Linked DNA regions of Bombyx mori. The protein of the gene in region 2 binds, or shares a complex with, the protein of the main gene of each other region. Links are inferred from orthologs where the notes say so. Each region holds a gene or a part of one and is shown on either strand. Other genes may lie near its edges.

What was found.
Region 1: COP9 signalosome complex subunit 7b (region 2) and COP9 signalosome complex subunit 3 share a complex: the UniProt entries of both Drosophila melanogaster proteins name them as parts of the CSN complex. The link is inferred for Bombyx mori from reciprocal best matches to the Drosophila melanogaster genes CSN7 and CSN3.

The regions. Positions count from the first base shown.
Region 1 is NC_085119.1:8,366,386-8,382,753, reverse strand, and holds COP9 signalosome complex subunit 3, read left to right. Parts: upstream 1-5,864; 5' UTR 5,865-6,129; coding exon 6,130-6,184; intron 6,185-6,352; coding exon 6,353-6,507; intron 6,508-7,583; coding exon 7,584-7,680; intron 7,681-8,838; coding exon 8,839-9,056; intron 9,057-10,204; coding exon 10,205-10,402; intron 10,403-10,755; coding exon 10,756-10,908; intron 10,909-11,054; coding exon 11,055-11,186; intron 11,187-12,267; coding exon 12,268-12,450; intron 12,451-12,785; coding exon 12,786-12,866; 3' UTR 12,867-12,920; downstream 12,921-16,368. Other genes in the region: uncharacterized protein LOC101742302, read right to left, coding at 613-844, 1,879-2,052; uroporphyrinogen decarboxylase, read right to left, coding at 12,964-13,107, 13,427-13,594, 13,681-13,836, 13,960-14,103, 14,187-14,345, 14,414-14,701, 14,773-14,790. UniProt on the Drosophila melanogaster protein: Component of the COP9 signalosome complex (CSN), a complex involved in various cellular and developmental processes.
Region 2 is NC_085114.1:3,660,986-3,677,216, forward strand, and holds COP9 signalosome complex subunit 7b, read right to left. Parts: upstream 8,770-16,231; 5' UTR 8,378-8,769; coding exon 8,183-8,377; intron 8,047-8,182; coding exon 7,794-8,046; intron 6,124-7,793; coding exon 5,903-6,123; intron 4,718-5,902; coding exon 4,565-4,717; 3' UTR 4,489-4,564; downstream 1-4,488. Other genes in the region: zinc finger protein 615, read left to right, coding at 9,668-9,793, 10,102-10,327, 10,784-11,073, 12,038-12,194, 12,769-12,926, 13,354-13,497, 14,129-14,316, 15,004-15,181 and 2 more. UniProt on the Drosophila melanogaster protein: Component of the COP9 signalosome complex (CSN), a complex involved in various cellular and developmental processes.

The DNA.
Region 1 (16,368 bases), on a different chromosome or scaffold from region 2:
TGTAATGCAATCACAGCGATTCGGTTCTCTTTATCACCCCACTCCATTTTAATATCTCAAAATATTGTACAATGTATTGGCGCCAAAATGAGAAAACTCAATGAGCAATCATATAAAAATGACATTCTAAATTCAAATGTAATATTTTGTTTATTTTTAATTGTAACAGTATTTATGGCCAGACTAAGTATATTTGAATATCATCTTTATAAAAAACACCTTCACAAGTAATGCTTTATTTTAGAACAAATTTGTTTAACATAAAAAACATTTTAGTGAGCCAACCTTAATATATAGACATAGGCTATCAACGGACTTTTTTTTAGATTTTTTAAAGGGGAACAATTCTCTCATACATTACTTTAGCGAAACTTTAACCGTCTCCACAGCGCACGCAGTGGAATCTCGCAAAACGGAAAAAACCCCAATTTTGCAACATTCTTTATTGGTGCTCCATTTGTATTGATCTTAGTGTGATGTTATATAGCCTATAGCCTTCCTCAATAAATGGGCTAAAAACTGTTTCAAATCGGATCAGTAGTTGCTGAGATTAGCGCGTTCAAACAAATAAACTCGTCAGCTTTATAATATTAGTATAGATTAACATTTTACCTGCAACTACTGCTCTACCCTCATATTTCTTCCAATCTTTCTTCAGTTGATAGTAAAGTATGGCAGATCCCATAATAACTACTATTGAAATTATAATAGCTGCTAGTTTTACAGCATCAATAGGGGTAAATGCACTAGAGACTAGTATTTCCACTTCACTGACTGCATATTGTAAACCATCAAGACTCTTTGATATGCACATATAGGTTCCAGAATCTGCTTGAGTAACTTTCTGAAATGTTGAGACATATATTTTTTAAATTGTAATTTATAAAAGTGTTAGCAAGTTACCAAGACTCAATTAAGTTCAGTAAAAAAATATAAAAAAATAAATTATAAAATAAATTGATGTCATAAGTTATCATCAGTAAAGCCATTGATATTGAAGAGAATGATAATAAATAAAGTTCATTTAACTATGTTTCTAATTGTTCTTGTAGTCATATCTTGAAATATATCTAATGAATACATGCAAACCAGTGTAAATTTTCGTGTTTTAAGCTGGGAAGTGGCACTTAAATTAATCCTTCATTTCCAGTGTCACACACCACTGCACTGGTGGTAGTAATGGAGAATTTTAGAGCTGGCCAAAGGGTGGTGGCACAAACCAACTTAGACATGTTAATACGAAAACATCTCTTATCCAGTAGCATATTCAAAATTTGAAATTTTTTTGGCATGAGACGATAACTAACAAATAGCTGTGGAGGATCACCAACCAGGCACCAATGGAGATGGAGATCCTTACGCGGAAGTGGCATTGGAATGGTCACATATTAGAAAAGCCATATTAGATCTATCCAAGAGAGCACTGACCTGGAAAGTGTCCGGTAAAAGGAAGAGAGGCCGTCCCAGAGTAGCATACTCAGTAACCACATTTTGACCCACTGCTAAAAACGTCTACAATCCCTACTATGTGTTAAGCCCAGCCACTGGGCCCATAGAGGTTTGAAATATTATGCAATAAGACTACAACCTATCAATTATTGCCATAAAATAAATAAAATATAAATAATCTTAAAACCTAGTCTTGACAACACATTCATTGGTTTCAATGCAGACTGGCCATAAGCAAAGAGCTTCCTATCCTAAGAAACGACTACAACAAAAAGTTTGAGGGTAACTAGTTCTAAAGTAAATCATTACACACAGACCTTATATACAATAAACACTTATTATTATAATTAATTAGCATTGCAGACAGTTCTATTTTGAGAATTTAATCTTTTACTAATTCACTAATTTTTCTTATTTTCTAATACTTACATTAATATTAAGTTTCCCTGATAAAACTTCATATTTATACTTTTTATCATTGTAATCAATTCCTGAACTTATGATTGTAGTTTTGTTAAAGAGCCAGAATAAGAAAATATGATTTAAGTCATTACTAGCACAGTTCAATGCAGCATTATTACCTTCAGCTATTGTCATCTTCATTGTTTCTAGTTTTATTTATTTTCTAGACGAATGAGTCTTCTTCCAACATACGTAATAGAGTTTTTCAACACTTGAGTAAGATTATTATATCACCAAAACTTCTGATGCTGCCACAAAACATTTGAGAAGAGCAAACATCGGTATTACTGAATGCGTGCCAAGTTTATAATTATCTTTACACAGTCATGAAGTCACATGTCCTTCCCCTCAATGCACAGTATTTATTGCTTCCTATTAAGTATGCTTCGAATCATTTTAATACCTACTACTTCCACTGGAGTGTTTGATCAAATGCATGAACACTTCAATACAGAGAACTGGCAGTAGCATCCATATAGGAGTCATTACCACATAAATAGGTAAATAAACTCTATTATATTCCAATTTTATACAAATTATTATTTGTGCAGCCATTTTTAGTCCAATTGCAGCTATGTACCACACATTTTTATTGATGGTTCCTCTAAATCTTTCAATGCCATTTCTGCAGTGTGATACCATATGAAAAAGTACGTAGATCAATAAAATACTATCGTACACCCACATTGGAATAAAAACGATGAACCAATTCCAATGTGTTCTAGACTCTAATCTCAGACATAGCAAAATAAGAAAAATCAAAAATATAAACCAAGTAAAAAGGGCCCTATGTAGAATAGCCATTGTTGAATAATTAGATTTTCCAAACCCAATCAATAACACAAGATTTCTAACTCGTCTACCTGTTTGTACTCTATTAATAAATCTTGAAATTTGTCACAGATTTGTAAAGTTGTTACTACGTGAAATTTGTTGGCATGAGGCATCTATCCATCATTAAAGCGAGTTTATAGATAATAAAAACAGTTAATACATTTTACACATTATAAAGCGAGTCACAATGTACCGTTTAGATCATAGATTATACACTTAATATATTTGTTGTTTAGATGTAATGAGAAATTATTTTCCTTCGGGAAAACTCGATCTTTATCGGAAATAATCGGAATTAGACATGCGTAGTTCCGGACCTAAATAGTTCCTGGAACTATGTCCTCATATGGAACTATATCATTCAATCCGAGTTGTCAAAATTAACATGTTCAGACAGTTCCATTTCCATTCCAAGTGTACTGTTATGCAGGAACTACGAACGCGTTGAACATGACGGACATGCGGACATGATTAGAGCATAGGTACCGCGCGGCGCGGAGGCGTGGCGCGGCGAGTCCACCCGAACGAGTCTCGAACCGACACGAGTCCACGTAAAGAGATAAGGCGACATATGGCACGAATACGAGAGAGTGAGATGGAGCGAGTGCATGAAACTGCGTGTGGAGCTCTTTCATATTACATTTTTATTAATATTGAAGTTATGCTCTACGACCTACGTGTTACAGTCGATAGTTGAATAAATTAAAATGTTTTGCTATGGATTTTGACCTTGACCATGCATCATTCCTACGAGCACTTAACCTTAAGTGTTTGTGGACCATTTCTTAGAAAATCATAATTCAAAATTCGAGAATTTTAAAACATTCACCACTTTCGCTATTCGGTATCTCGGTTATGGGAAAAAGGTTGTAAGGCTACAACGAGCTTAATTTACGTTGTATATCAGAATAACGTGGTATTTTAATTAACAACTGATAGGTTATAGTTTCCGGTGCATCGTACAATACCTACATTGAAAAATAATGAAAGTAGTAGAGTAGTTGAAATTATGACAAAGTAATTACAGTACATTAATAAATTATGCAACCAGCTGTAACAATGAACCTAAAACTAAAAACCTTACAAAATAATAATTACAATAATAATTGCCATAAGCGGCAATCTATTTTTATATAGTGCTTTTAAAAAATTGTATTTTTAATACCTTTTTTGAAAAATATTGTGTAATTAATAATAACTTAATACGTGATTCGCTACACTACAAACAGCTACTAGACTTAACATGTCCGCGGAACTAAACAGCTTCAAACAGCTACTAGACTTAATATGTCCGCGGAACTAAACAGCTACAAACTACAAACAGCTACTAAACTTAACATGTTCGTGAAACTAAACAGTTCCGCGAACATGTTTACTGGAACTAGTTCCGACACTCAAAAGAACGATGTCATGTTCAATCCAGTTCCGGACATGATTAGCGCACGTCTAATCGGAATACGATGACAACCGAACTGTTTTTTTTAAAGGGATTTTATGACCTGGTAACTGAGACCTTTAAGTCACGTCTTATTTTAATTTATATTAATATTTTTATGAAAAATGATATTATGGAGTGAAATGAAATGAAGATGATTAATTTGAGACATTAATCAACTGGGATGAAATATAATCTCAGTAAAATGGTGGTCATTTACTAAGATTTTTTCAGTGGAGTTTTTGGAGGATCCCGAGAAGTTATGTCCACGAAGAAACACTAAATAGACAAAATAAAACAAATCAATCACTCCTCGCGTTCCCGCCAAAAAGTCTCAACCGAACTGTCAATGAATGATAGCATAGATTATACACTTAATATATAATGACAGTATTACATCATAATACACGAGTGACACTTTCATTTCCATTATTGAGTTTCATACACTGAAGTAGGAAACCTAGTTTCATACTTCAGTGTTTATTGAGGAACTTTGTGGGAACTTTATTGTTTAGTGTCAAATTTCAAAATGAATAATGTCATTGTATAAAATAGAATTAGTACATTCTTATTTCATTAGATTTTTTTACTGAACCGACAAAGAAAAAATTACCCATAAAACCAAATCTAAAAAAGGCAAAAACATGTCAGTTTAATAAAATGTGAAATGGAATTAAATAATGCAACAGATTTATTTTTATTGCCCTTGCAGGTAGACAAGCATATGGCCTGCCTGATGGTAAGTGGCTACCGTTGCTCCTGGACATCAGCAATGCCGGGGCACAGCCAAGCCGCTGCCTACCGTTGCGTACTTTTCTTAAGTCTCCTTTAAAGATAGATCATCTGTAAAGGAGATTTATATATATATATATGTATATATATTTTATATATTATATATGGCGTTCGGGAAACACCGTAGAGGGAAGTTCATTCAAAAGCCGGATGGTACATGGCAGAACTCTTCTCCGATAACGGGTGATGTGATTATAAAATTAATATTATGGGATCATCTGAAACAATACATCAGAGCACACCCTATGGGACATACGATACAAAACCCAGAGACAATCGAAGTCTCTCTGTAGACAGAGAGCTCCAAGCGATACATGCGAACGGGAATATGGACAATCCGAACGTCTCTCTTCTGTATGAAGTCCAATGGAAATTATCTGATAGTATTTGAGAGCCCCGGCCCAGAGGTGAGAGCAGTACTCCACGCAAGGCCGGAATTGCTTTGTAAGGCCGAATTTGTTTTATATAGCAAAAATCTGTATCCAGGTGTGAAGTACCAAACACAAGTTTCGATAGTTTTTCCTGCATCATAATGAATGATGGCAAGAAAATAATTTCTTAGTAAAATAGCACCATTCTTGTAATAAAATTAACTCTTCTCATGACTGTTTTCTTTGAATTGATTTTGATTCAATTTTATTTGAGCCGGAATATATTTTTATTACATAATTTTTAGAAAATTAAGTGATTTATGTATCTAGCCAAAAGAGCGAGCGCATCTTTTACGGGATAGTTTCTTATTTCTTCATGTAGTTTTTAAACTAACATTTATTACGGGTGTGATACAGACTAAATTACTGAAAATAACAATAAAAAAGAAAGAGATTAACACATACCTATTTTATCATATCGCACAAATACATAATGTTTTGTCTTATCTCAGCTCAAATTTAATTCATTTCGTTCCGTTTTACTTTTTATACAACACTTATAGCTGTAGTCTTTATTTTTTACAAGATTATGGTCTAGTACCTCTTTGCCTAATATATTGATGTATTTAAATAAACAACTACCGCTGTCAATTTCTCATGTCAAAAAAATATCAATAATTCATGTTATTTTCGTCTGGGTTATTTTAAATGTAGAAAAAAGAAACAATTTATTTAAACATTTATTAATTCAAGCACATATATAATTTATCTGATACTACTATCACAATGGCTTCTCCTTTAGAACAATTTGTCAACAATGTGAGGACAATGTCGGCATCAGGTACCGTGCTATTATAATTCATGGAATAAAAAAAGTAGGCACCTGACACAATCGCAATCATAATAATAATATTATAATAAACCTGATTCTTTTTTAGGAAACAAATTTATTGGAATGTATTAGAACGTCATTAAATCAAACTTCATGGTACAATGTCTTATCTTTCAGGTAATTTTCGCGATTTATATGAGATTATTGCAAAATCAGATGAAGTGTTGCAGAGGAATAGCTTCCACCTCAATACAGTACTTGAAACTCTTGATATCCAACAGCATTCATTGGGTGTTTTAGCAGTCCTGGTGGCCAAATTTTCCTTGCCTCCGGTAAGTGTTTTAATTATGCATTCTAACTTTACATAAATTATTACAATGGCCTTAAAGTGTAATTGAAATCTAAATGTATGTTAAGTCTAACTTAAACTGTATCAAAATCTATATATTAATACATGAAGCAAGAACTTTGTATCCCTTTTTAAGAAAATTGCGCGGACGGAGGAGTATGAAATTTTCCACACTTATAGAGAATATACAGAAGAAGTGCATGATGTTAATATATTTTTTGAATAATGCATAAAAGATACATTAAATCAATAAAGAAAACATTACACACACTACATACCTTGTATTTGACGCACACACGCATGCATACTATTTATTGTCAAACTTTTGTTCTTGACGTCTGTTGTCAAATTGAAATTAAATATTGTTTGTCTTTGTTAATATTTTTTATAGTGTAGTCTTGGTGAAATTTGTGATTATAGAAGTATAAAATACAATCATAATAGTGTAAAAACTTACAATTCCAATTAATCATAGTTGAATTTCGACTACTGCGGGACCTCTAGTATCACTAAATATTCACAGCAATAATTATAACATATATTATATATATTTTATATCTATCAAGGCATTTTATGCCTAAACTCAAATTAAATAAATAATGGTTTAAAAATACTAACAAAATACGCTTTTGTAGAAAATCCAACTAAAAAATAGAAAATAAATTTGATTTAAAAATGGTGTAAGAAAAAATTATTTTATTGTAAAAAAGCATGGGGTGCATGGTGCATGCATGGTAAGGGGGTCAAAATCATGTTCAAAGATTCTGTTACATACTAACATACATACAACTGAAGCTAATAAAATCGTATTAAAAAGCTGCAAAGTCACCCAACATGAATTTTGAAAAAAATCTGTAGTAGTATATTTATTGATACTGACAAACTTAATGAGGTCCAATATTAATTTGAAAAAAATATCTCGTAATAATATAATGTTAACTTAGGTTTTCTCTTTGTTTTGAACTGTATAATGTTCTACAGCATGAAATAAACTGTTCATCACATATTAACTACTTTTATTTCTGTTTTCTGAATCAATATAACTTATGTACCTTACAGGGCAATCCAGAAGTTGATAGGTCAACTATGTATCAACAGTTTCATGATTTTATCAATAACTGCAATGGTGAACAAGTTCGATTTGCAACTGATTTATGTAAGTCTGCTTTTCATTTTGTCAATCTTTTTTAGTCAGAATGCTGAACCTCTATATATTTTACCTTCTTTGATATCTCTGAAAACTAGAGTTGACCCTGCTCATAGCCTAGTAGTATAATAGTAGCCTAGTAGTATAATCATGAGTGTTTCATAGTTCAGTGTGTGATTGTAAATACTGAATTTTTATCAATCAATTTATGTATAATACTTTATCAGTAGCATCTTTTGTGTATAAGCTGTGTGGCTGTGTGGTCTAATATTTCAAGTTAAAAACTGAGAAAAAAGTTTAACACAAACTCAATAAAATAAAATAAATACTTGTTAATAAAATAACCCTCATTTATTACAATATTTAATTATAGACAATCATAAGAAATATTTTCTATCTCTGAGTGCAAGGTCAGTAATACTCACGAATAACCTGTTATTATGCTAGTCACTAGCAGCTAGTGTAATTAATTCAATTTAAATATTAAAATTAATTTTTTCATTGGTCTATTTCTTAAAAAATAGTATCTTATCGCTTTCTCATCTTAACTTAGCAAAACAATTTAAATATGTATAAAAATAAATTAAGTATTTTAGATTTACGCTTATGTAATGGTTTTACAAATATTTATTGATTTAGATCTGCTTCTGATCTGTTATGTTTTGAGGGACGGGTCAGATGAACAATCCCATCACTGACCTATAAAGATTTTTTATGCTCATGAATCATCATTGATCTAGCATAACAGTCAAATCTTTCACTTGCTTCTCATTATCAGTATTATGTTTTATTTTTATGAAAAGGAGTACAATTTTCTTCACTAATACACTATTCTTCTTCCTCGTCCTTTCCTATTAGTTAATTATTAATCACTCTATTTATAAAATGCTTGAAACACAAAAAAAATTACTGTTAGAATGGCATATTGTTAACCACTAGTCCAGTCCAGTCAAGTCCACTTAGTCCTCCAGACATGCAGTCTAGACTAGTGAAATAGCCTCTATATAATTCATAAAAAAAAACTTCAACCTTGTCTTAAAGTCATTTGTGTAATTTGTATTTTGAGTTTATGGGCTGCAGTAATCATTTAATACATGTAGGGCTTTGAGATCCCTGTCTAGAGCAATACAAAAACGATTGTATTGTATTTAATTTCTAAAATTACAGATGCAGATTTGTGTCATCTACTCACAAATCATTTGGTAGAAATCAAACAACCAATAAGGGGCCTGGAAATATTAAAAAAGGCTATAAGAAAGATACAATTGTTTGATTCACAGCTGACCTCAATTCATGCTGATCTTTGCCAGCTCTGTTTGCTCTCAAAATGTATGAAGCCAGCTCTTGAGTTTTTGGACACTGACGTCACTGGGATTGGCAATGAGGTAAAGTGTAGCCTTTTAATCCTCTTTATTTGTCTTCATTCTTTAAAAATGATTATGATAGTGTTACCTCTGAAGGATTGGCGACACGAGAACCCTCTCATCGTGGCCGCCGGTAACTACATTCCAGATCCTGCGGACAGAATGGAAAGCAGTCGACGTCGCCCCCAACACGTCATTTCGGATCCCGATCCACTAACGGTGCTTCTAGGTACCTCAAGCACCGGTCATCGGTCTCGTCGAACCGGTCGCTTGCGACGAAGGGCTTGACGAGTAAATTAACCCTCAGACACAGCCCACTGAGTTTCTCGCCGGATCTTCTCAGTGAGTCGCGTTTCCGATCCGGTGGTCGATTCTGCGAAGCACGGCTCTTGCTAGGGTTCGTGTTAGCAACATCGTCAGGTTTGAGCCCCGTGAGGTCACCTACTAGTTAAGGTTACGCTGAAATAGCCTCTCAAGGCTCTCAGCTAGCTAGAAAAAAAAAAGGGTTGGTAGTAGAGTAAACGTATTACAGTTTTTTTTTATTGTTTAGATGGGTGGACGAGCTCACAGCCCACCTGGTGTTAAGTGGTTACTGGAGCCCATAGACATCTACAACGTAAATGCGCCACACACCTTGAGATATAAGTTCTAAGGTCTCAGTATAGTTACGACGGCTGCCCCACCCTTCAAACCAAAACGCGTTACTGCTTCACGGCAGAAATAGATGGGGCGGTGGTACCTACCCGTGCGGACTTAAGAGGTCCTACCACCAGTAAATATTACAGATTTACGAAGTACGAAAAGAGAGAACACTTAATTAGCGTATATTTTTTATTATAATTAAATGTTAGTGTTTCGGTAGCGATGGTTGATCATCAGGCTATGACTATTATATATTTATTAATAATATAATAAATTAATAGTATAATTACTATTAACTTATTATATTATATATTTTATTAAATTAATTTAATAAAATATATAATATAATAAGTTAATAGTAATTATACTATTAAATTAATTTAATAAAATATATAATATAATAAGTTAATAGTAATTATACTATTAATTTATTATATTATTAATATTATTAGTTATAATAATATAATTATATTATTGAACTAAACTATATTTCATAACTCTAGCTAACAAAACTTCATTTGTTCTAGCTTGGCGGTATTAATGATTCCAAACATTTTCTACTATATTATTACTATGGGGGCATGATTTATACAGCAATGAAAAACTATGATAGAGCTTTGTATTTCTTTGAAGTTGTAGTGACTGTTCCGGCAATGGTTGTATCCCACATCATGTTGGAAGCATACAAGAAATATATTTTAGTGTCTCTTATACTTCATGGAAAGGTACGTTACTCCTTCCAATGATACCTTCAACCTCAATTTTAAACCCATACAGTGAGCAGGACTTTTACTAAAGCCATAACTTAATATATTTTTTAATAAGCATGTAATCAAGCTATGCTAAAAATACATGTCGTACCATTGGAAGATCAAAACCGAAGAATCCAATTTTATGTTATGTTGTTTTCCTGGCTATACAAAAATTTTGTATAAAATAATAATTCCATGACATGATAGAATTGTTTGGTTTTCATTTCTATTTCAAAAATCTATTTAATAAATTTTTTATTCCTATAATGTACTTTTAGTTTTGTTCTTATTAGACATAATGATTTAAGTAATAACTCTTTTTAAAGGTTTTGCCAATGCCGAAATACACATCTCAAGTGGTTTGTCGGTTTTTGAAACCGTTGTCAGCGCCATATCATGATTTAGTGGCATCCCAACATGCTGCAAGCAAACACCGCGAGATATTTGTCAGAGACAAGAATATGGGACTAGTTAATCAGGTCTGTTTTGAAATAATAGCTTTAGATTAAATAGAAAAATTTATTTATTCGATTGATAATGACTTACTAACTCAAATGCAGTGTAATTAAGGTAGTGTTATATTTTGGAAAATATGAATAGTCTTTTATAACTAATTTTTTTTAAGGTTTTAAATTCAATGTATAAGAAGAATATTCAGAGATTGACAAAAACATTTTTAACGCTTTCGTTGAGCGATGTCGCTTCTCGCGTGGAATTATCTGGGCCTCTTCAAGCGGAAACATACATACTTAATATGGTAAGATCAATAACATTAGGTATCTTGAAAAATTTTTGTAGAACTATGTTCTGTAAGACGTGCAGTTAGTTTTATTAATAAGGGAAGCTTGACAGTATACAAACGTTCTATGATAAAATAAATAATTAACATAATAATATTATATTGGCGTTTTGTACGGGAGGAATAAAGAGTCAATTTATTTTTGTAAAATATATTTAATTGATCAAAGTATGCACCGTTGTTATCTATGCACTTTTGCTATATCATAGGTAGTGCATTAATTCCTTTACTAAAAAAACCATGGGGGTGAAAATCAATAAACTCTTTGAAGGCGGTTTGGATTGCCGGATCGAAGTTGAATTTTTTTCCTTGTAAGAAGCTGTCTAAATCCCGGGAAAAAAATGGTAATATGTCGGAGCAAAGTCCGGGGAATACGGTGGATGTCAGTGGCGTAGGCGATTAACTAATCTCAGTTGTTTAGCAGCTATTTCTTCCTTTATGGTTTGCAGTTGCTGACAATAGATATCTGCCGTAATCGTTTGGCCAGATTTTAGAAAACTGTAGTTCAAGTTTTTTACTTTCCCGATTTGCTTCAAGTGGATTTATACAGTTTTATCACTTACCCCGAAGCCTGCAGCTATCTCTGAATTGCTTTGTGATGAATCCGCTTCCACAATAGCCTTTAATTCTTCAATTTCCACTGTGGTCTCCGGTCGTCCACGCGATTGTTTCTGAAGGTCGAAATTTCTAGAACGAAAACGTCGAAACCAAAACCGTACCGTGCTTTCTTTTGCCACACCAGCGCCGTACGCTTCATTAATCCTTCGAGCTGTTTCTGCAGCACTGGTAGAACTCGTACTCGTAAATATGCATGCAACATTTCATGTTTTCCATTGTGCGGTAGGTAATAAGCGACGCTAAAGAAATAAATATATAAAGAAAATAAAAATAAATTACTGTTTTCAAAACTCAAACGTATAGTAGGTACTGGGCAAGAAACAATTCACATCGACCTCTAGAAAGAGACATTCGACTAATTTCAGCTTTACAGTACAAGAGTTACACGGCACAAAACTTCACATTTAATGTTTTTCGACAGATTGAAGAAGGCGAAATATATGCAATGATTAACCAAAAAGATGGTATGGTGGTGTTTCTAGATAGTCCAGAAAAATATGCATCACCGGAAACATTGTGTGTCTTAGAACAGCAAATGGCTGCTTGTACTAAACTTCACCAGTACATACAGGAAATGGATGTTCAGATACAAGTCAATCCACAGGTAACAACCGCTCTGGTAATCATTAACTGAGTATCGAACTTTATAAACGAACTGTTTTCATATTTTCTTATTTTTACTTCCTAACTTTTCATTATTTTTGGTCACCATCTGTAATTATCAGTCCTTTCGAAAAGAATAATCCAAGTTAATTAAAATTTAAATTCTTTTTTTTCGTAATCCTATGTATTTTCTTACAAAAGTTGGACCTGAACTGCTGCATAGTTGCTTTGCTTGATACAAATAGAATGCATGTCTCCTATTTTAAGCTAGGGAGATTTCTCAAAGTTTCGTTTTTGTTTTTTCTACTATGTAATTAATTTATTAAATAATTACAGTATGTGAAGAAATCAGTTGGAAGTCACGATGAAGATATGCCCGGCACAAGTCAAAATACGAAGACAACATACACAATGTAATATAAGTTATTTGTTGTATGCTAAGAATAAAAGTTTTCTGTATTAACAAGCAAATTCTTTAATTCCCAACCATATAACATGCATAAAAATATTCTTCTTATATAGCTTCATGTACTGTTTCAGTAAAAACAGTCATACTCTCAAGTGGGGTTTGTGGTGTAATCCCATGACCCAAATTAGCTATGTATCTATGTTTTCCAAACTTTTTCACCATTTCAGTTGTAAGTGTTTTTATTTCTTCCTGCAAAGAAATAATTCTTAAAAACATGTCTAATTTCATCTTAATTTCTTGTTAATTCGATTTTACTAATGTAAATAAAGTAAAATACATGAAAAGTGTAATTTCTTAAATTTAGTTATTGCGTTAAAAAGTATTTTGTTTTTCAAAGTTAAGTTTAAGACAAGCTAAAATGAATAAGTACGGCACATTAACTCAGGTTTAACAAAAAAAATTTTTAAATCTGGGTTTTATAAAAAAAGCTTGTCATCATTATTCATGACACTGAAATGAATGAAATGAAAGTTTACGTCACCAGAAGAATTTATAATACATTACGTACAGGAGTTTTGTATAAATCCTGAGGATCAAGATTTCCTTGCAAAGTAATGTTTTCACCTACAATTTTCCTGGCTTCAGTAGGATCCACTGTCCAATCTAGTCCAATGGTTTCATAACCTAATTGAGCTTGAATATCTAAGGAATGTCCAGCTCCTTTTGCAAATATGGTCTGAAAATAATATAATAAGTATTCTTAATTGTGTGATTATCTCTAGAGCATGTTATTTACAAGTTATTTTACTATAAATAACTTACCATAGGAACCTGTTCTAAAGATTTTTCTGTAAGTTTAGCTCTAACTCCACTTCTAATGTCTTTCAAATATGGAATAGAAAACTCAGTAAATTGTTCTCTTGAGAGGTGATCTGCACTTGATTCAAATACTTGCAGAAGTTGCGCTCCACTCTCCACCTTCAGTTATACATGCATATACATATAATTATATACATTTCCATTTGAACAAATATATTTGATTTTCAAGATACATTAAGATCGATTATGTTTTTAGCAAAAAATATACTATTTCAAACTTACTTGCATCACCACATAGTCAATTATAACATTAGTAAGAAGACAAAGGAGTCTATGGACATCTTTAGGATACTTCTCGAGCCATTCTTTTGTTTTAGACATTGTTTTGCTTCCTCCACCCTCTAGCATGTATCCAAATAGTGTAAACTAAAATTTTATCCCAAAATTAATTAAATACATGAGTATATTTCAATGGCATCAAATTATACCTAAATATTTGTGATATTTACCGGAGCTCCAGTAAAGCCAATCAAGGGAACTTTACCATCTATTTTATGTCTTGTCAGTGTGATAGCCTTTCCAACATAATCCAACCTTGAAACTGCACCTTCTGGTTGGAGACCATCTATTTCTGATGGGGTTTGAAGTGGTTTAGGAAATACTGGACCCTAGAAATACATTTTTTTGTAATGATGTCAAGAATGGGTAGAGCATTTTTAAATTGGATTTTACTTACGACTCCAGGGTGCATTTCAACAGTCATGCCGAGTGCTTGTGGTATCACAAGAATATCACTGAATATTATAGATGCATCCAAGTGCTCATACCTTCTGAGCGGCTGCAGTGTTACTTCACAAGCTAATTCTGGAGTTCGACAAACCGTGAAAAAATCGTGTTTAACTCGGACTTCCTGAAATTCTGGTAAATATCTTCCAGCTTGTCGCATTACCCAAACAGGGACTTTGTCAACACTTTTTCCTAAAGCTGCTCGAAGTAGTCTATCATTTTTCAATTCTGGAAAATTCTGAAGGAAATTCAAAGATTTTGTTAATAGTGAAAAGTCTAGTAAAATGCACAAAAGCAAACTGCTATTACCTTGTTAGAGTACTCCATGTTATGAATGAAAGATTTTGATTAAAAAATAATTAACCAGGTCCAAATTATGAATTATGAGTAAAATAAAAAAATCTATTAATTTTAATGTATGTACATTTAATGTATTGGCCGACTTGGTTTATCCAGCTGATTTTAATGAGTTTTGTTTTCTTTTTATTTATTTTTAATATTATATGGCCTTGTAACAAGACCTTTAAGCCAAGTTTTATATTCCGTTATTATATGGATATGATAGCGAACTGAGATGCAGTTGATTATTTTGAGACTTTATCAATTGGAATGAAATTAAACATAAAGTCTCAGTAAAAAGGTTAATACTTTTTAAGAGTTTTTCAGTGAATTTTTTGAAAAAAACCGATTAGCTATGTACGTTCAGTAGCTTTGTTATTTTACCACATTTGTGGACTTTCAAAGATACTCAATAGTTAATAAGCCACCGTTATTACACAGTGAAACTTAAAGAAACACTAAATGAAAAACATAAAAAATTCAAACAAATTCACTCTTCGCACTCCCGCCAAAAAGGTCTGAGTTTTTTAAATCGACATAAGATTACTGACACTGACATCAGATATCAAACACTGCTGTCTTACAAGTTACGATATGTGCTATTAGGTTTCATACGTCAGTGGCTATATTTAACAACTATGCGTAAGTTGTAAGAAGCTTGAGAGACTATTCTTAAATATTAAATTACTATTTTATATAATATAATTATTATTTATATTATTATCTATGGACAATATTATGTACTAGCTTCACCGAACGTGAGTGAACGTGAAAAGCTTGAGGTTACTAGCTACTGAGGCTGGGTAGCCAGGGTAGCATTGCAAAGGGCCACTAGTATGATTGCGACGCGACGTGGACATAGCGAACCATGCGCGCTGTTTTATCTGTCTCTTTGGTTCATTGTGGACGAGCAGCGTCTTGTCTTCGATGCAGAAGTAGGGTTTGACTTAGGTACCGCAACGGAGAAAATCAAATCCGTTACTGTTCACTCACAGCAGAAACGTACCATAGTCTACCTTCGCAAGCACTAAAAAAAGCACGCTATATCACAATGTCATATTCGACCGCGACGGGGTAACGCAAAACTGCCGTCGCCCGAAACATGTTTTGTCGGATCCCCAGGATTCACTCTCGGGTTTTTTAGGCCTCTCGAGCACCGCCCCCCGTCCTTGTCGAACTCGACGAGCGAACTAACCTACAGACACAGCTCACTAAGTTTCTAGCCGGATCTTCTCAGTGGGTGGCGATTCCGATCCGGTGGTAGATTCCGCGAAGCACTGCTTTGGCTGGGGGTAGTGTTAGCAAATACTCCCAGGTTGAACTCGTGCGCTCACCTACTAGTCCGGGCGTAGCTGGAATAGCCCCTTAGGCTACCAGCGAATAGGTAGGGAGAGAAACACAATGCAGTAGGTACATTCGCAGAGTTATAGTTCTGAAATCTTATTCCTTCATCGTAAAATTTATTCGTGTAGAATGCTACATTGTGTAATCATTTGTTGCAATTTTTTTTATTGAGTAGGAACGTCTCACATTTCAACGATTTTATTTGCATAACTGGCACTAAGA
Region 2 (16,231 bases):
TTTATTTTTTTATTGTAACAGTATTTATGGCCAGACTAAGTATATATCAGCCTCAAGAACGATACACACCCTGTAGGTAAGTGTGGAGGATGCCCATGGTTCATTCATTTCGTTTCATAATTAATGCTCAAACAGGTATGCGCATTATCGCTGTTTTATAATTTATCCCATATCTGTAATACTTATACCTGTACGGTTTCCGAGAATTCGAATAAGATCATGTAATAAAAATCGAGAAATTACACATATTCGTAATTGGTTTTTACTGGTGGTAGGACCTCTTATGAGTCCGCGCGGGTGGGTACTACCACTCTACCTATATCTGCCGTGAAGCAGTAATGCGTTTCGGTTTGAAGGGTGGGGCAGCCGTTGTAACTATACTTGAGACCTTAGAACTTATTCTCAAGGTGGGTGGCGCATTTACGTTGTGGATGTCTATGGGCTCCAGTAACCACTTAACACCAGGTGGGCTGTGAGCTCGTCCACCCATCTAAGCAATAAAAAAATAAATGGTGGTTTTTTTATTCAAATCAAATCAAATAAAAAAAAAATTATTCAACATAAATGAAAGTACTTACATATTTGTTGAGCGTCAAAAAGAACTACCGCCTACTATTGCCTTTGATGGTAAGTGGTCACCGTCGCTCATGGACGTCAGCAATGCCAGGGGCGGAGCCAAGCCGCTGCCTACCATGCCTACGGTGGTAGCATGATCCACTAATATTTTTATGAGACGCCGGCAACGCTAGCACTATAGAGCAGATATAAGGACTCTGGTAACTCTACTTATCGAGCTCATGGAAGAATTCGACGTGAAATCTAGCTCATAGATTCATCACGCTGAGTTACACGACGGATCGTCTCAGTGGGTCGCGATTCCGATCCGGTATTAGATGCATTCGCGAAGCAGCTGCCTTCGAGCTGTTAAATTCCTTCGCACTCGGGTAGGTTTTAGCAAATCCTACCCCTACTGCCAGCAGCATCTATCGAGAAACTTGTTGTTCACGGTAAGGTCAATGGTAAGAGATCTCGTGGACGAATCCCCATGCGCTGTACTGATTAGGTGAAAGACCTTACTGAAACCCCACTTAACGAGTGTGTGCGCCGGGCCTCGGTTCGCAATCTATGGAAAACATCTGTCAAGGCTTTAATAAGCAAGAATTCCACATGACCACGACTGCTCTGCCAAGAGCAACCGATTATGATGACCCCTACTGGCTGAGCTCGTGCCGCCCATCTGTCCTGGTATAAAGCTCTAAAGGCCTTTGAGCTAACAGAACCCGTCTATCGCAAAAAATATATAAGTCAGCACGGGCAGCTACAACCGACTCGTCTTTTCTGTTGCGAAGCAGTTCCAATTTTGATAGTAGAACAGGCATTGAACAATAAAATTGAGACTACCAACTCTACTTTCCAGGTATTCGGCGGATAGTATTCACGTTGGGCCCCGGTAACAATTGAATATCAGGTAAAGGTCGTCTACCCATCTATACTATACAATTAACTCTATATTGAGATATCTTTTAAAATTCAATAAACTGGTGCATTGATAATCATCTTGATTATTGATCTACGACAATAGATTCCTTAATAAACAAGTGTTTTATCTGATCGTAGTTCTTGTAATATCGGTCATTTATCCTGTGATATATTATGATCTACTGTGATCCGTGCTCACTTTAGTACTGCTACTTTAACCGATTGGGGCAATAAAACCGAGTCTGTTGTTATATTTTCATATCATGAACGTGAGCTGGAATAATGCAAGAGCACTCGCGCGGTACCCTGCGCGACCGGTCTCTCCCCGCACCCCGCACCTCGCCCCGCCCTCCGAACAGCTGAGCCCCATAACAAAGAACTCCACATAAACATCATCATAACAATAATTATAGTATCTAAAATTCATAACAATTATTATCTGATTGTGAAACAATAATATCCATTGGATTTTAATATGATTAGGACTGCATTTACTTAACGGAATTAATAAGTAGGTAGGTTTTTAATGAGTGGACAGTGCATCGATAAAACAAGTAGGTATTGAGTAAACAAGTTTGACCGTGAATATAGATCGGTATGTGAAAGGTGATTACGATCAATTCTACATACTTGCCTTTCTGTACATCCAATACACGAAGGTCTTCGAGTCCAGACGCTTCTTTGAACAATTGCCTCCTACGGAATTAAATAATAAAGTCTATTCAGTTATATTAATTGTTACGGAATCATTGTGGAAAACGCGACGACGACGGCCACTTGTGTCGTAGTTTTTCACAGAATCGTTGCTATGGAGTTGTGTATAGCTCTTGCACAAATTTTTAGTTCTTTAACACACTATCATAGCGTCCCAGAAACGTGTTCACGTAATACATACTTTGTTTACATTAGTATCATGTTTAATGTGTTATTTACATCACTTTTTTGTGGCCTGCTAACACGATAATCGTTGCACTGCCTGCGCACTTAAACGCTGCGCCTCTGCGTCAACAAAACAGACTCGCTGTCCGAACCATTCGAGACTTTCGCTCTCTCGTTCGCGGCTGAAACAAAACGAAGCTTCGTCCCACTCTGTTGTTTGACGTTTGGTAAACTGGGTTGCAAAGTTAATTTATCTACTAAAAATAAATTTAACTGTAACTCTTTACCTTCATAGCTTTGAATTCACTTCGAAAATAGTTTAAAAATTAGCTTTAAAGTAACATTTTTTTAAAAATCAATTTGATAATTATTCACAGTGGTAACTAATTTTAAATAGCATTTTTGTTTCTTAGCGCTTCGCTATTTTTAATTAACAGGCGGTTACAAATTATTACTGTTATTATTGCTCTAAAAGCATCTACTCGAATAAGTGTAGCATAAGATATTTCTCATATTAAAATTTGTAAGGCTATATCTTAAAAAACATACATCAGGGGGATATAGCATTGAATTATTTAGAAGTCAGATCTATTAAGGGCAGTCATTAAACCAGTAAAACGAATACCTAAATAGTCAGTAACACGAAGTTAATTGATATTCAATAAATCACCACAAAAAGTATACGATGAGCCGTAGTGTTTCAGTGGTCCAAATATTTTAATGGAGAAGTCTAAAAATTTGCAATTTTTAATTGCTTGGTAATGATGAGCTAAGAAAATCTAAGATCGAAGCAAATGTGTTAAATTGGCTACCCTGGAAACATAGGCGTTCAAGGTTTTCAACTTCAGTCATGAAAGTGAAAGATATTCGGTTGACATTTATCTAAAGCACAGATTTGCGGCATGTTTATATCTTGAACACAGAATAGATCCTATTATGGTACAGATGGGTCTACATTGTATAGAACGAAATTAATATCGAACGAAGGGAAAATCCCTCTAACATTTTGCACTTCGCTTCTCTTGAACGGCTGCTATCTTAATTTACATGGGACCTAACTCTCGCATAATTTGTAGTTCGACTCTGCAACGGTTTAAGCATCGAAGCTGAAAAATGGGCTGGCACGTCCGTGCGTGGCGACAATACTCATTCCCTACGATCAGTCATCCATAGATTTTGCTGCTCTAATTTATATTTACTATACATAAAATGTAATTCCTGTTTTGTTTCCACGCAGATGCAATGTTACTTAGAAATCGTATAATATTATTTTAACCGTAATCACGGTTTGAAACCGGGTGAGTGGACAGCGTCTGACGTGACTAAATTTTTAAGCAGACTATCGAAGTTACATCACATACGATTTATATACAATCTATCTAAATCTGAAGAAAATTGGATCGATTTTTAATGGGACGTGCGATCTGTTGAAACGCAATGGGAATGAGTGGACGAATTCTTAGGTAATGTTTAGTAGCCCTTTTGATGGAAAGTAATCGGATGAAATATCGTCTCGAATGAACCCTTGAGCACACACAAGATGTATTATTCGATAGAGTACCTGCGTAGAGAATGCCAATGTTCCTCTCTATTCTGATTAGGTAGATTGGTAGTAAAGAATAACGCTTACAGTATACCAACGTACTACATAACATACTAATAAATAACGACACCAAAGTCTGGAATAATTTTTTTGAAGTGGAGGAAAATCAAAGACAAGTTTCAATTCGTTTTTATTTCACTAGAACTCCTCATATAAGTAACTAGCTTTTGCCCGCGACTTCGTCTGCGTGGAATAGTTCACAAATAATGCTTTATTTTATAACAAATGTGTTTAACATAAAAAACGTTATAGTGAGCCAACCTTAATATATAGACATATGCTGTCGCGGACTTTTTTGTAGATCTTTTAAAGGAACAATTCACCCACACATTACTTTAGCGAAACTTTAACCTAGTATCGATATGTAGGCATTTCCAATAAATACTAATCATCAAGTTCCCGAAGCTTGCTCCATCCACCGTTCATTTTTCATATTTAAAAATTTCCGTGGTTTTCAACTTCAATACCTACTTGAATTTTTCGTTTTCCCGAACGGAAAATTGTCAAATGAAAAAAAAAACATGCGATACGATACACTTACAACATATTTATTATTTCAAAAATTATCACAAGGTTAAAAATACAATTCAATCTGTTTTTCAATTATGTGCTCTTCTGCCAGAATTTGGCAGAGTTACGTGCAGTCTTGCTTTTGCTCGAATTCTTTTTGGGTGCTGAGTGAGGCTCGGCATTGGCACCTGACGCTGACTCATCATTCTCTGCTTGAGTCTTCAACGTCTTCTTTATGTATAAAATCTGAAATAATAATTAACTTGAGTTACTTGAAGTTTTCGTCTTACTATTTCAGTGATCAAGGTCCTTGTAATGCTAAGTTTAAATCCGAATCCAACTGTGTGCTTAGTGTGAGTTTTTTAAACGTTCTCGATAGCGTAAAAGTTAGCTCATATTTGTATGGAATGAGAAAGTTTGCCTACGTTTTCCGCTAGGGGCGCTGTTCCAACTGCATACAAAATTGGGCTAACTTTTACGCTATCGAGAACGTTAAAAATCGCACTAAGCATACTGATATTATAACATAGGTAATAATACATGAGTCCAAATTGAGGTATTCAATCAAATTCTCATAATAATCTACTGTTTGGTAATGCATGACTGTTTTTTTACGGGACTTCAAAACGTTTTCTTATGTACTATCCCTGGGACTCTGGTTTGTCATCAATGGCGAAATATATTAAAACTTACAATTACAGTAAAACATGAAATTTAAGATATTTGTAAAAGTGACCATTACCATCTAGTTCTACAAATAAGCTGAACAGAACTATGAATTGATAAATATTCGAAAGGTAAAAAGGATTTCGAGCAATTACAGAAGCGACACTAAACTGCTTTCTATAGACAGTGTTCTGTGCACGTAGTGCGAGTTTTTTTACTTCTCGATTGCGTAAAAGTTAACTCAAATAAGTATGAAGTTGGAACAGCGAACCTAGCGGCAAACGAAGGGACACTGTTCTAACTCCTACACGGTTAACTTTTACAAGATCGAGAAGTAAAAAAACTCGCACTAAGCATAGTGAATCGAATGCATGCTCCTTTAAACTGTGTCACTGCAGTTGTCTATGTCACATGTCTACTTATGGATCTGAATCTAATTGTATATATATGGAGGATAAAAAATAATAGTTAAGAGAATTTTGAAGACTATTTCCATCCAGAACTGTAAATATACATTTATCTTTAAAAGTGCAAGCTCTGAATTTCTTGCTGATTGATACTTTGTGGTGAACCTACATTCCGAATGGGTCATAAAGTTATGTATTTTTTTTTATTTTGAGCTTGATCAATAATAGTATTGTTGATCGAAGATTTTTATAAGAACTATATGATTTTTAGAAGGTCAAACATTGTATTTGATGATGATGTTTTTGTTTTAGGAATTGTTATATAATATACATGCACCTTAGATAATATAACACTCACCTTCTGTTCTATACCCTGCTGATGTCTGATAGCCTTCTGTTTCTGATGATTAGCTCTCTGTATGTGTTGATCTACAGAATTGAGTACTGCTTCACAAGCATTGCACCAGTCGGCCAGGACATCAGCAATGGAAGCTGCATCTTCAAGCCGCGCATCTCTGCCAAGGGCCACGTCCACTTCCACACGTTTACATTCCTGGTCCAACTTGCCGTGAATTATGTCTATGGAAGTATAGTATGTAAATTATTTCCAATTATCGTGCGAGTGGTCTATTGTAACAGTAAAATAGTTCAACATCATGTATGTATATTCAAATCGTCAAGGTATTCTACTCCTAATGAGTTTATACTGTATATCTATATATTGTTATATTGTGCATATTTAAAAAAATATCTTTTAACTAATAAGTACACTGCGGTTAATTTATTTCCTCATGTGATTCTTGTCCACTTCATGGTTATCTGGAATAGAATCCTCTTGACAATAAGACTGCCCATTCTACTTTTGTGTGATGTATGTTTTGTATTTATGTTTATATTGATGTAAAATAAAGAATACACACTATCTGTCTAATGAGGTTTTTATTGAACTTAATTTTATACAAGTAATAATTAAAAGGAATGCATTGTTAATTAGTTGCCATGGTCATAATGAGAAGTGCAAAAATGCTATTTTTAGAAAGTAATTGTTTATTGATGTTTGCTTGCTATATTCACATTCAGATTTATTTGTTTCCCTACAACTACTTACTACCACATGGAATAGATTGATCTCCCCTTCTACGAAGGTAAAAACAAAATAAAATAGTAAAAGAAAAATCAAAATAAATATATGCTTATATGGATAAATAAAAGGATGTTAAACTGTTTTCAGGGCATACAAACTCAAACAGGGAACATAACATTGACTTACTAAGCATAAGTACTTGTAATTATAAGGTAAACCAATAGTTATATTGTAAAACCTCAAATTGTAATTGAATTTTTTATGATAAAACTTTTTTTTTAATTAAGTAATTTTTTTATTGCTTAGATGGGTGGACGAGCTCACAGCCCACCTGGTGTTAAGTGGTTACTGGAGCCCATAGACATCTACAACGTAGACGCCACCCACCTTGAGATACAAGTTCTAAAGTTTCAGTATAGTTAAAACGGCTACCCCACCCTTCAAACCGAAACGCATTACTGCTTCACGGCAGAAATAGGCAGGGCGGTGGTAGATATCCGCGCGCACTCACAAGTGGTCCTACCACCAGTAATTACGCAAATTATAATTTTGCCGGGTTTGATTTTTATTACACTATGTTATTCTTTTACCGTGGAAATCAATCGTGAACATTTGTTGAGTACATATTTCATTAGAAAAATTGGTCCCGCCTGCGAGATTCGAACACCTTTGCATCGCTTCAACATGAATTAACCGGACGTCTTATCCTTTAGGCCACGACGACTTCATACCAACTTTATTCCACTAAGATGCATTAAATTATCTGAAGACATAATAGTAGGGCTCATGGCTCATGTCATTGTAGCATCAGTTTCCTATTTGTATTGGTAGCTAAATTCATTTAAGATTTAATGATTTTTTTTTATATGGACACTTTAGAAGTTATGCTTATTTAGTGTATATGTATTCTTTATCAATGCACATTTTATATATGTGGCTTTAATCTATATAAAACATGAACTAAATAAATTAGATACTACATCAAATTCGGCACTGAATTGTTTTCTCATATACACCACAAGAATAACTCGAAAAAGAAAAAAACAAGGTATAAAATGCATGTAGTCAAACTTGAATTTTAATACTGTTTTATGAATCAACAACTCTGACACTTTTTTTATTAGGGACTGTTTGTATATACACTATAGTAGGAAAATCAACTCACCTGCATAAATAGCTTCAATGATAAGATCTTCTAAATCTCTAACATTTTTAATATCCAATTCCTCAAGTAACACACTGTAAGGGATACATTTCTCTTGTGTTGCAAGTGTTGCAATGGTCAGATGCTGTAATTTCTTGCACTGGACTGTGGTTAATTCTAAATAGTCCGATTTGTTCTCAATGTAGTCCTTATATGTGCCATAGGCAAACAAATTAAGAGTTTTTAAATGAGTTGCATAAGGTCCACTCTCCAGCTGAAAAATACAATAAAATGAATTTTAACAAGAGCGCCAAATTGATTTCTACCCATAGAATTCGGACAGTTTCATACATTTAATGGTTAAAAATGTATTAGAATTAATTGATCGATATAAAGGTAAGTTTTCTAACCTCTTTAATATTTGGCATCTCTAATAGCTCGCCGAAAACATGCACTCCTGGAGCCTCCAGAACCTGTTTGATGAGTTCAGCGCACGCAGAACCTTTAGCTCCCTTTGCTAAAAGGACAAACTGTTCTAGAGGGTGATTGGAGGAAAATGATAACAATGAGGAAGGTTCATCTCGGTCCATTGACATCGGATTCATTTTGAATTTTAAGACGTCTATGTCTATTTCATAAACGGGAAATAGGTCAATTCTATATTGAATCTATATGTTAGGGAAAAAGTATCAAACTCAGATTTAAGGTTTAAACTGTTATATTTATGTACCTACCTAGGTAGGTAGGTATTTTATACTTTCTTTGGTAATTTTAAGTTGACAGTGACAGTTGATGACAGGCTGTTTCTACATTTATATTGCTAGCTGTTGATACTTTAATATTATTATTATTATACATAACGAACGGATGTATTTATTTGTAGGTTTAGTTTACTTCAAATTTGAAATCTATCATAAAATATGTATTCAATTTCCATAAAGAACATGATGGTGGCAGATTATACTTAAATCTATGAAAAGTCAGGTACTTGAGTTCTTGAAGAGCTTGTCTTAATTAGTAATATTGCAAAGAAGTCAGACTATGAGTGCATAAATTTATTACCTATGTATCAAGTAACTAAGATAAATTAAAAAATACCCCAAGAATATTGACATTTCATGTAAAGAATGTGGTGTAATTAAATCACGTAATTTTTGTTAGTTCTAAAGCGTTTAGGATGAAAAATTCAGCCAATTTAAATAGAAATTAATTCAAAAGTAGAACAGTATGCAGAGAAGTACATTTATTCATAATACCAAAAATCTTTTAGTGAAACTACAGCTTTGATTGATTAGTTATAGGGCTTAAAAAATAAACTAATTTCAAGAATTTTATAAAGTTTGTCTTTGACAAAAAAAAAACTAGAAATTTAAAAGTTTATGCTTCAGTTTTCAAATGACCATAAATAATAAAATGGCGTCAGGTTTTTTGTGTGTGCGATAAATTAATTGTTTTCATAAAAATCTGGATTTTCTCCAATTTTTTTTGACATACGAAAGTGTTTTTTATTTTATATGTAATTATGAAGCTTATAAATGCATATATGACTTCTAATAACGTACTATTTATTGTAAATAATGTGCGTGTCAATGTTCGTTGAAGCGTCGTTGTTCTGGGCCGCCTTTTATATTGGGTTGATTAAACTAATTTAGATGTCGTCTAAAGTTAAGATTCATCGTTATTTACACAGAACACCATCACAAGTTGTAAATTAGTGTTGTTTTCGCTTGATATTCGGCGTCGCTGTCAATGAGTGCGTTTTGCGTGTGTGGTTGTGAGGTCGTACATACATGTTCGCAATGATAAAACTGTCATGAGGACTGTTTACTATCAAATAGTGAATCTGTGTTAGTGCGTTTACATTTCTATGTAGTGAAGTTTATATTGTGGTGAAAATGTGTATGCCAACACCGAACAATGTTTCGGGTTTCGGTTATTCTTGGGGCTTTACGAGTTCCGCGGACCTTACCAAGGGCGATGTCGAAACTCCGAGCAGCCTCAGTTATTCGCTTGGGAGTACGGTAAGGTCTAAATAAAATAAATTAAATAACTGAAGCACTTTAGAGTAAACATTTATTGTGCACTTTAATTTCAAAGTGCATCCTCTCAAAGTTTTAACCATAAGCAAGATTGAATGAAATTAACAACAATCAGCTTTCACTTGAAGTAAATTTTCTAGTTATTTTAATATTTAGCAACAAAAAAAAGCTATTATGAAATTGTGTACTTATATGTGCTATTTTGTTTCAAAATAGGTTTCATTTCAGTAAAGACTTAAAATCATTTTATAAATAAAAACAAATAATCAACAATAAATAAAACATTTCAGGTGTCTCCAGAGACAACACTCACTGTTATGTCTCACAAGACACCGCAAGTCCAAGATAAAGTGGGTGCTGTTGCTGTGGCAGTATCCAACTCGGGGGCTCAAGTCACAAGGGTTGTCACAGCAGGAGCTCCGGTGACGGCCAGGAGAGCTATGTTTGTTCTGAATGAAGCTCCAACCCATACTATAAACAGGGTTTCACAACAAAACCAAACAGCGACAATACATAGTGGGTATTATTAACTGTTTTAAGGCTTACAATCGCTTACTAGTCAGCTTTTTGCTTATTTAGCATTAATTGCTTAAATTCAAATTAAATTTTAATTTTAAGCTTAAATTAGATAAATAAAGTTCTCTGTAAGTATTTAATACAAAATCTACTGACAGTTCTTATTTATCTATTCATACTGCACTCAGTTAAATTGACTCCTAATAACAAAATACTGATTTTATTAATGCAGATATTAGTTTTTTTCTTAGAAAAGAGAAAAATAAACTAAAACTAAAAAGTGAAGAAAATATTAAAAGCATGTTCTGTCAATTTTCTTATAGTTTCATAACAATTTTATAACATGTAAAATATAAAAAAAAGGTTAATTTGACCAATATTGTTAGGTTTCATGTTAATATTTAATAACAATAAACTTATGTGAACCAAATCAATAAAATAAATTATAAATTGCAGCAACAAATTTAACATCAAAGTCGTTTATGACTCCCCTTGGACCACTACAACTGACGGCAGAAGAGTGCAATGAAATTCTAATGAAAAGGGCACTGCAAGCTCAAGGAATAGCGACTCCTGTCATTGATGCATCACAGTTAAACCATACAATACTTAATGGTGGCTTGAAGAGTTTAACCGAAGCGAACAATCAACAGGGTCAAGCAGAAACAATACAAACAACAACAGTACAACAACATCATCTGTTACATACGAAGCAGGAACCTGGAACTACTAATAGTTCACCTAAAGTAAGAATTTTTATTTCTATAGATAGCAACAGTAACCAGTCAAGTATTCCCGATCCTGCGGACAGAATGGAAAGCAGTCGACGTCGCCCAAAACACGTCATCTCGGATCCTTCCGATCTACTAACGGTGCTTCTAGGTACTTCAAGCACCGGTCACCGTTCTCGTCGAACCCGTCGCTCGCGACGAAGGGCTCGACGAGTACATTAACTCTCAGACACAGCCCACTGAGTTTCTCGCCGGATCTTCTCAGTGGGTCGCGATTCCGATCCGGTGGTAGATTCTGCGAAGCACGGCTCTTGCTAGGGTTCGTGTTAGCAACGTCACCAGGTTTGAGCCCCGTGAGCTCATCCACTAGTTAGGGTTACGCTGGAATAGCCTCTCAAGGCTACCAGCTTAAGTAGGAAAAAAAAAGTCAAGTATCCGTTTATCTGACTGACTCAGTTGTGCAGTAATTAGCGGCTCTAGCTATTATTTATATATGAAAATATATTTAAGCATATAGAAGTATATATGTCAGCCTCAGGTACCCATAATACAGGCAATCGTAATTTGGGGCTGGATGACAGTGTGTGATTTGTTCCCAGTGATTAGTTATTTATTGTTTATCTCGTTGATCAAAGATCAGACTTCCCTGTAATTATTTCTTAGGAAGCTTTGATGTTCACGATATATAATTGTAGTCACCATATGAATGTCTTCTTATTTTATTGTTATCCCTATCTAACCGTTGGTAGACTAAGGTGCTACAACTATGTGCGGAAGGGTAGGTGAGCTCACAGGCTCAACTGAGAGAACTGAGAGAATTTGCTAACACTAGACCTAGTAAGTTCAGTGCTTTGCTCAGGAATCGTAGCTCACTGAGTAGATCCGATGCGAAACTCAGTGAAATGAGTACTAATAAATATCTTCAGATATTTCGATCATTATTGAATTTAAGTTATCAAGTAATAATGTTTCTTTTCAGGCTGTATACTCACAGACAGAGATGATCAATGCAAATACAATAATGACGACAACAGCACCACCTCCTGCTGTTAAAGAGAGGCCATATTCATGTGACGAATGTGGAAAATCATTCTTGTTGAAACACCATCTCACAACACATGCAAGGGTTCACACCGGTCAGTAAATATGTTGTAAAATTTGTAAGAAGAGCAATGTCATTTTATGATTTGTTAAAAAGTATACAGTAGAAGTATTTTGTTAGATCTAAAATGGATAAGGTTCTATCTATCTTTACAAAATTGCATTATTTTGTAGTTTTAGGCACTGGACTATTAACAAAAAACGGCACTAGACTACAACTGTTAACACAAATCTAAAATGTTTCTTATAACTAAAGTGGTCACATAGATAGTAATGAATATTTTTAATAATTTGGGTATAAAAATAATTATAATTTACGGTGTTCCTTTATCAAAATGACTTGTAACAAGGTTAAAATTATACAATACCCATAAAACTTAATGATTGTCTTAAGATTTATGAATTTTTGCTAACCCTTATTCACTAATTAAATGAAGAAGTATCATAATGTGAAGAATAATATAAAGAAGTATTATATTGCCATGAATACATACAATGGTGAACATTTCTTAATATGTATAACAAAGATTAGTGATCATTGACATTTTTATTTCTAATTAATAATTCTTAAAGAGCAGAAAATTAAGAACGAATTTAATTGTTACCTAGGTGAAAGACCTCATGTGTGCGCTCATTGTGGCAAAGCATTTGCAAGAAAGCATTGTTTGAACACACATTTGTTGCTGCATTCAGCTGACCGACCTTACAGATGTCATGAGTGCAAAATGGCCTTTACACTTAAACATCATCTTGTAACACATTCTAGGGTGAGTACAGTTTAAAAAATTGCTAAAATTGTTCAATAAAAAGTAGACATGTAAATTGGGTATATGGATATTTCATTAATTATATCGACGCTTGAAAGGCAAACGTGACTAAGTGACAATGCTTGAACTTTACAGTAGACTAATTTAAAGTTGAAATACCTGAAAACAAAATTTATTTTAACGAATCTAGCCGTAGTAGAATCTAGCTAGTAGCTGTAGGATTGAAATTATTTTGATAGACCTAGAAATATATTTTTTTTGCGCATCGAATATGGTTATTGCCTATCATTAATGTACAAAGCAGTTATTGTCGCTTAGTCATGTTTGCCTTTCAAGCGTCAATATCCTTTAAAAGGAAATTTGCTCAATAAAAAGTATTCATGTAAATTGGGTATATGGATATTTCATTAATTGTATCCCTTAAAAGGTACACAGTCGAGATCGTCCATTTGTATGTGGTGAATGTGGGCGAGGATTTCCTTTGAAACGGCATCTGGTGACGCATAGCAAGTATCATGCCGGAGAACGACCCTATGTTTGTACTGAATGTGGAGAGAGCTTTGCTCACAAGGTAAGTACATATTTACCATACATATCCACTACCAAAAAAATATAACGGTTATCATTTTTTCATCCAGATGGTGAAATATGCCTTTGACTGCGTTTGCTTGAAACTATAAAAATATTTCAGAAATCTAACTATAGATCAACTGAGAGACAAGACACATAAAACCTCACCCTTTGTAATATGTGTTTGAATAGATATGAAAAACTAGTATTGATTTAGTGATTTTTATAAAGTCATAGCAGATTCCACAAATGAAGTAAACAAAGGATCAGCTTCACTAACTCATAGTTACTTTTTTGTTTTGGTGACTGATTGAATATTATTGTTGGTGCATTATGAGTTTTCTATAGAGCTCAGAGATTGCTTTCTGACATTATTCCTCGTCGCGAATTAACCCACAGACACAGCCTACTGAGTTTCTCGCCGGATCTTCTCAGTGGGTCGCGTTTCCGATCCGGTGGTAGATTCTGCGAATCACGCGCACTTGCTAGGGTTCGTGTTAGCAACGTCATCAGGTTTGAGCCCCGTGAGCTCGCCTACTAGTTAAGGTGACGCTGATATAGCCTCTCAAGACTATCAGCTTAGGTAGGAAAAAAAAACAGCAATATATAGACGTGGTGTTGTTTCCTTCCAGGAGCACCTAGTGATGCACAGCCGGTTCCACGGGTCGCTGTCGCCGTTCGTGTGCGGCGACTGCGGGGCCGCGTTCGCCCGCAAGTTCCAGCTGGTGAACCACGGGCGCGTGCACGGCCGCGTGCCGCACGCCTGCCCCGTCTGCGGGAAGGAGTTCCTGCAGAAACGGACGCTTGTCGCGCACTTGAAGTTAGTTATCTTCTACTGTGGACTTGTTTCTCAGTCATGCATTCCAGAGTGAAGGGTTTTTACTACACGATGTTATTCCTTTATCGTGGAAGTGAACATTTGCCAAGTACGTATTTCATTAGAAAAAGCTGGAGCAGCAGCGCTACAACACTATTGAGACGACCTCATGGCTATGGGCCCCAGTAACCACTTGACAATGCGGCCGTGAACACTTCCCATCCTTACCAAATCCATCTCCAATCTAATCTCTAAAAAAAAATTATCAATTGTATTTTTGCTATCCCACTTTTCGAACCAGAATACATGACAGTAAATAAATATAAATAAATAAATATTTACTAACAATCACGCCACGTTAACTGGTCCCGTGATAAGTTCGTAAAGAACTTGTGTTACAGGTACCAGATAACGGAAATAAATGTAAGATTTTTATTATACATATACATATATTTAATATACATCCATAACCCTGGAAAAGACATTTATATTTATCATACAAATATCTTCCCTTGGCGGGATTCGAACCCGCGACCCCCTTGTGTAGTGACCGTGTCACTTACCACTACACCAGACGGCCGTTGTGTGCGACAGTGTTGTGGTAAAAGACCTTTTACACATTATAACCAGTATTGAAGATTCATGCTAGGGGAATTTTTGGTAAGAAAATAACTCACTTCACTCTTATAGAATACACACTGGAGAAGGAGTAGTCGCGTGCATAGAATGCGGCGAGGCGTTCAAGAGTAAAACCGATCTGTATCAGCACTGTAAGATGTCGAGGCATTGTTTATCCACGTCAACGCCATCGCAACAACAACAAACGACGGTCATCAAACAAGACGATTTTAAACCACAAATTGTACAGGTACACCATATTTTTTACTTTATATGATTTGTTCAATGAATCAACCAACCAATCAATCAATGTATGAAGTCCAAATGGACTATTCGTTCATGCAAACATAGAGTTACCTGTTGTGTTTGATTGATAAAAAAAATTGCCATTTATTGGGCATTGGAGTGAGAGGTCTTGATAGAATTAGTGTATTTATACTGCTTATAATGAAGGATTTCTGGGGCTGAAGAAATTAATAATTAAATTCAAGAGCGTGTAGGGAAAATAATCGCATACAGAAAATCAGGATGAAATACTTTGCGGTAGTGATAAAGAATAAAAATTATTATATAATTTTGTTACTATCAAAGAAATCATCTAAAATGAAGATATGTAGTTTGAGATATTTAATTAATTAAGATATAAAATGACACTAATAGCTATATGTTTAAAAAAATAGATCAGACTACACTACAACTAGAAATGGTATTATTTGACAGTAGTGACACAACATTTGGTTTACTTCCCAATAGCAGCAGCAGCAGCAACAACAGCAGCAGCAGCAACAGCAGCAGCAGCAACAACAACAACAACAACAACAGCAGCAGCAACAACAGCAGCAACAGCAACAACAACAACAGCAGCAGCAGCAACAACAACAGCAACAAAGACAAGTGCAACAGCAGCAGCCACAGACTATAGTTATAGAGCAAGATGATTTCAAACCACAGATTGTTCAAGTAAGCGAATCATTGATAATACTAAAATATGAATCCACGTAATAATGTTGAACTGAATTTTTCACCACAGTAGAATAAATAAAGTGTCTTAATATTATCATTCTTATAATTTGTGAAATGATTTAAATAGTACCAAATATCCAATGTTTAATCAACACAACTGTTAAGACCTAAATACGATTCGGTTCAACCACTAAATTGGCCAAATGAATGAGAAAAGACTATAATATGTGTTGCAACTGTCGTATTTTCTGTTTGTATATTAATGTTTCATTTTATAGGTGATCGGCACCGATGGGCACCTCGTCGCGGAGAAAGCGTCTCCCGGATACGGCTGTCC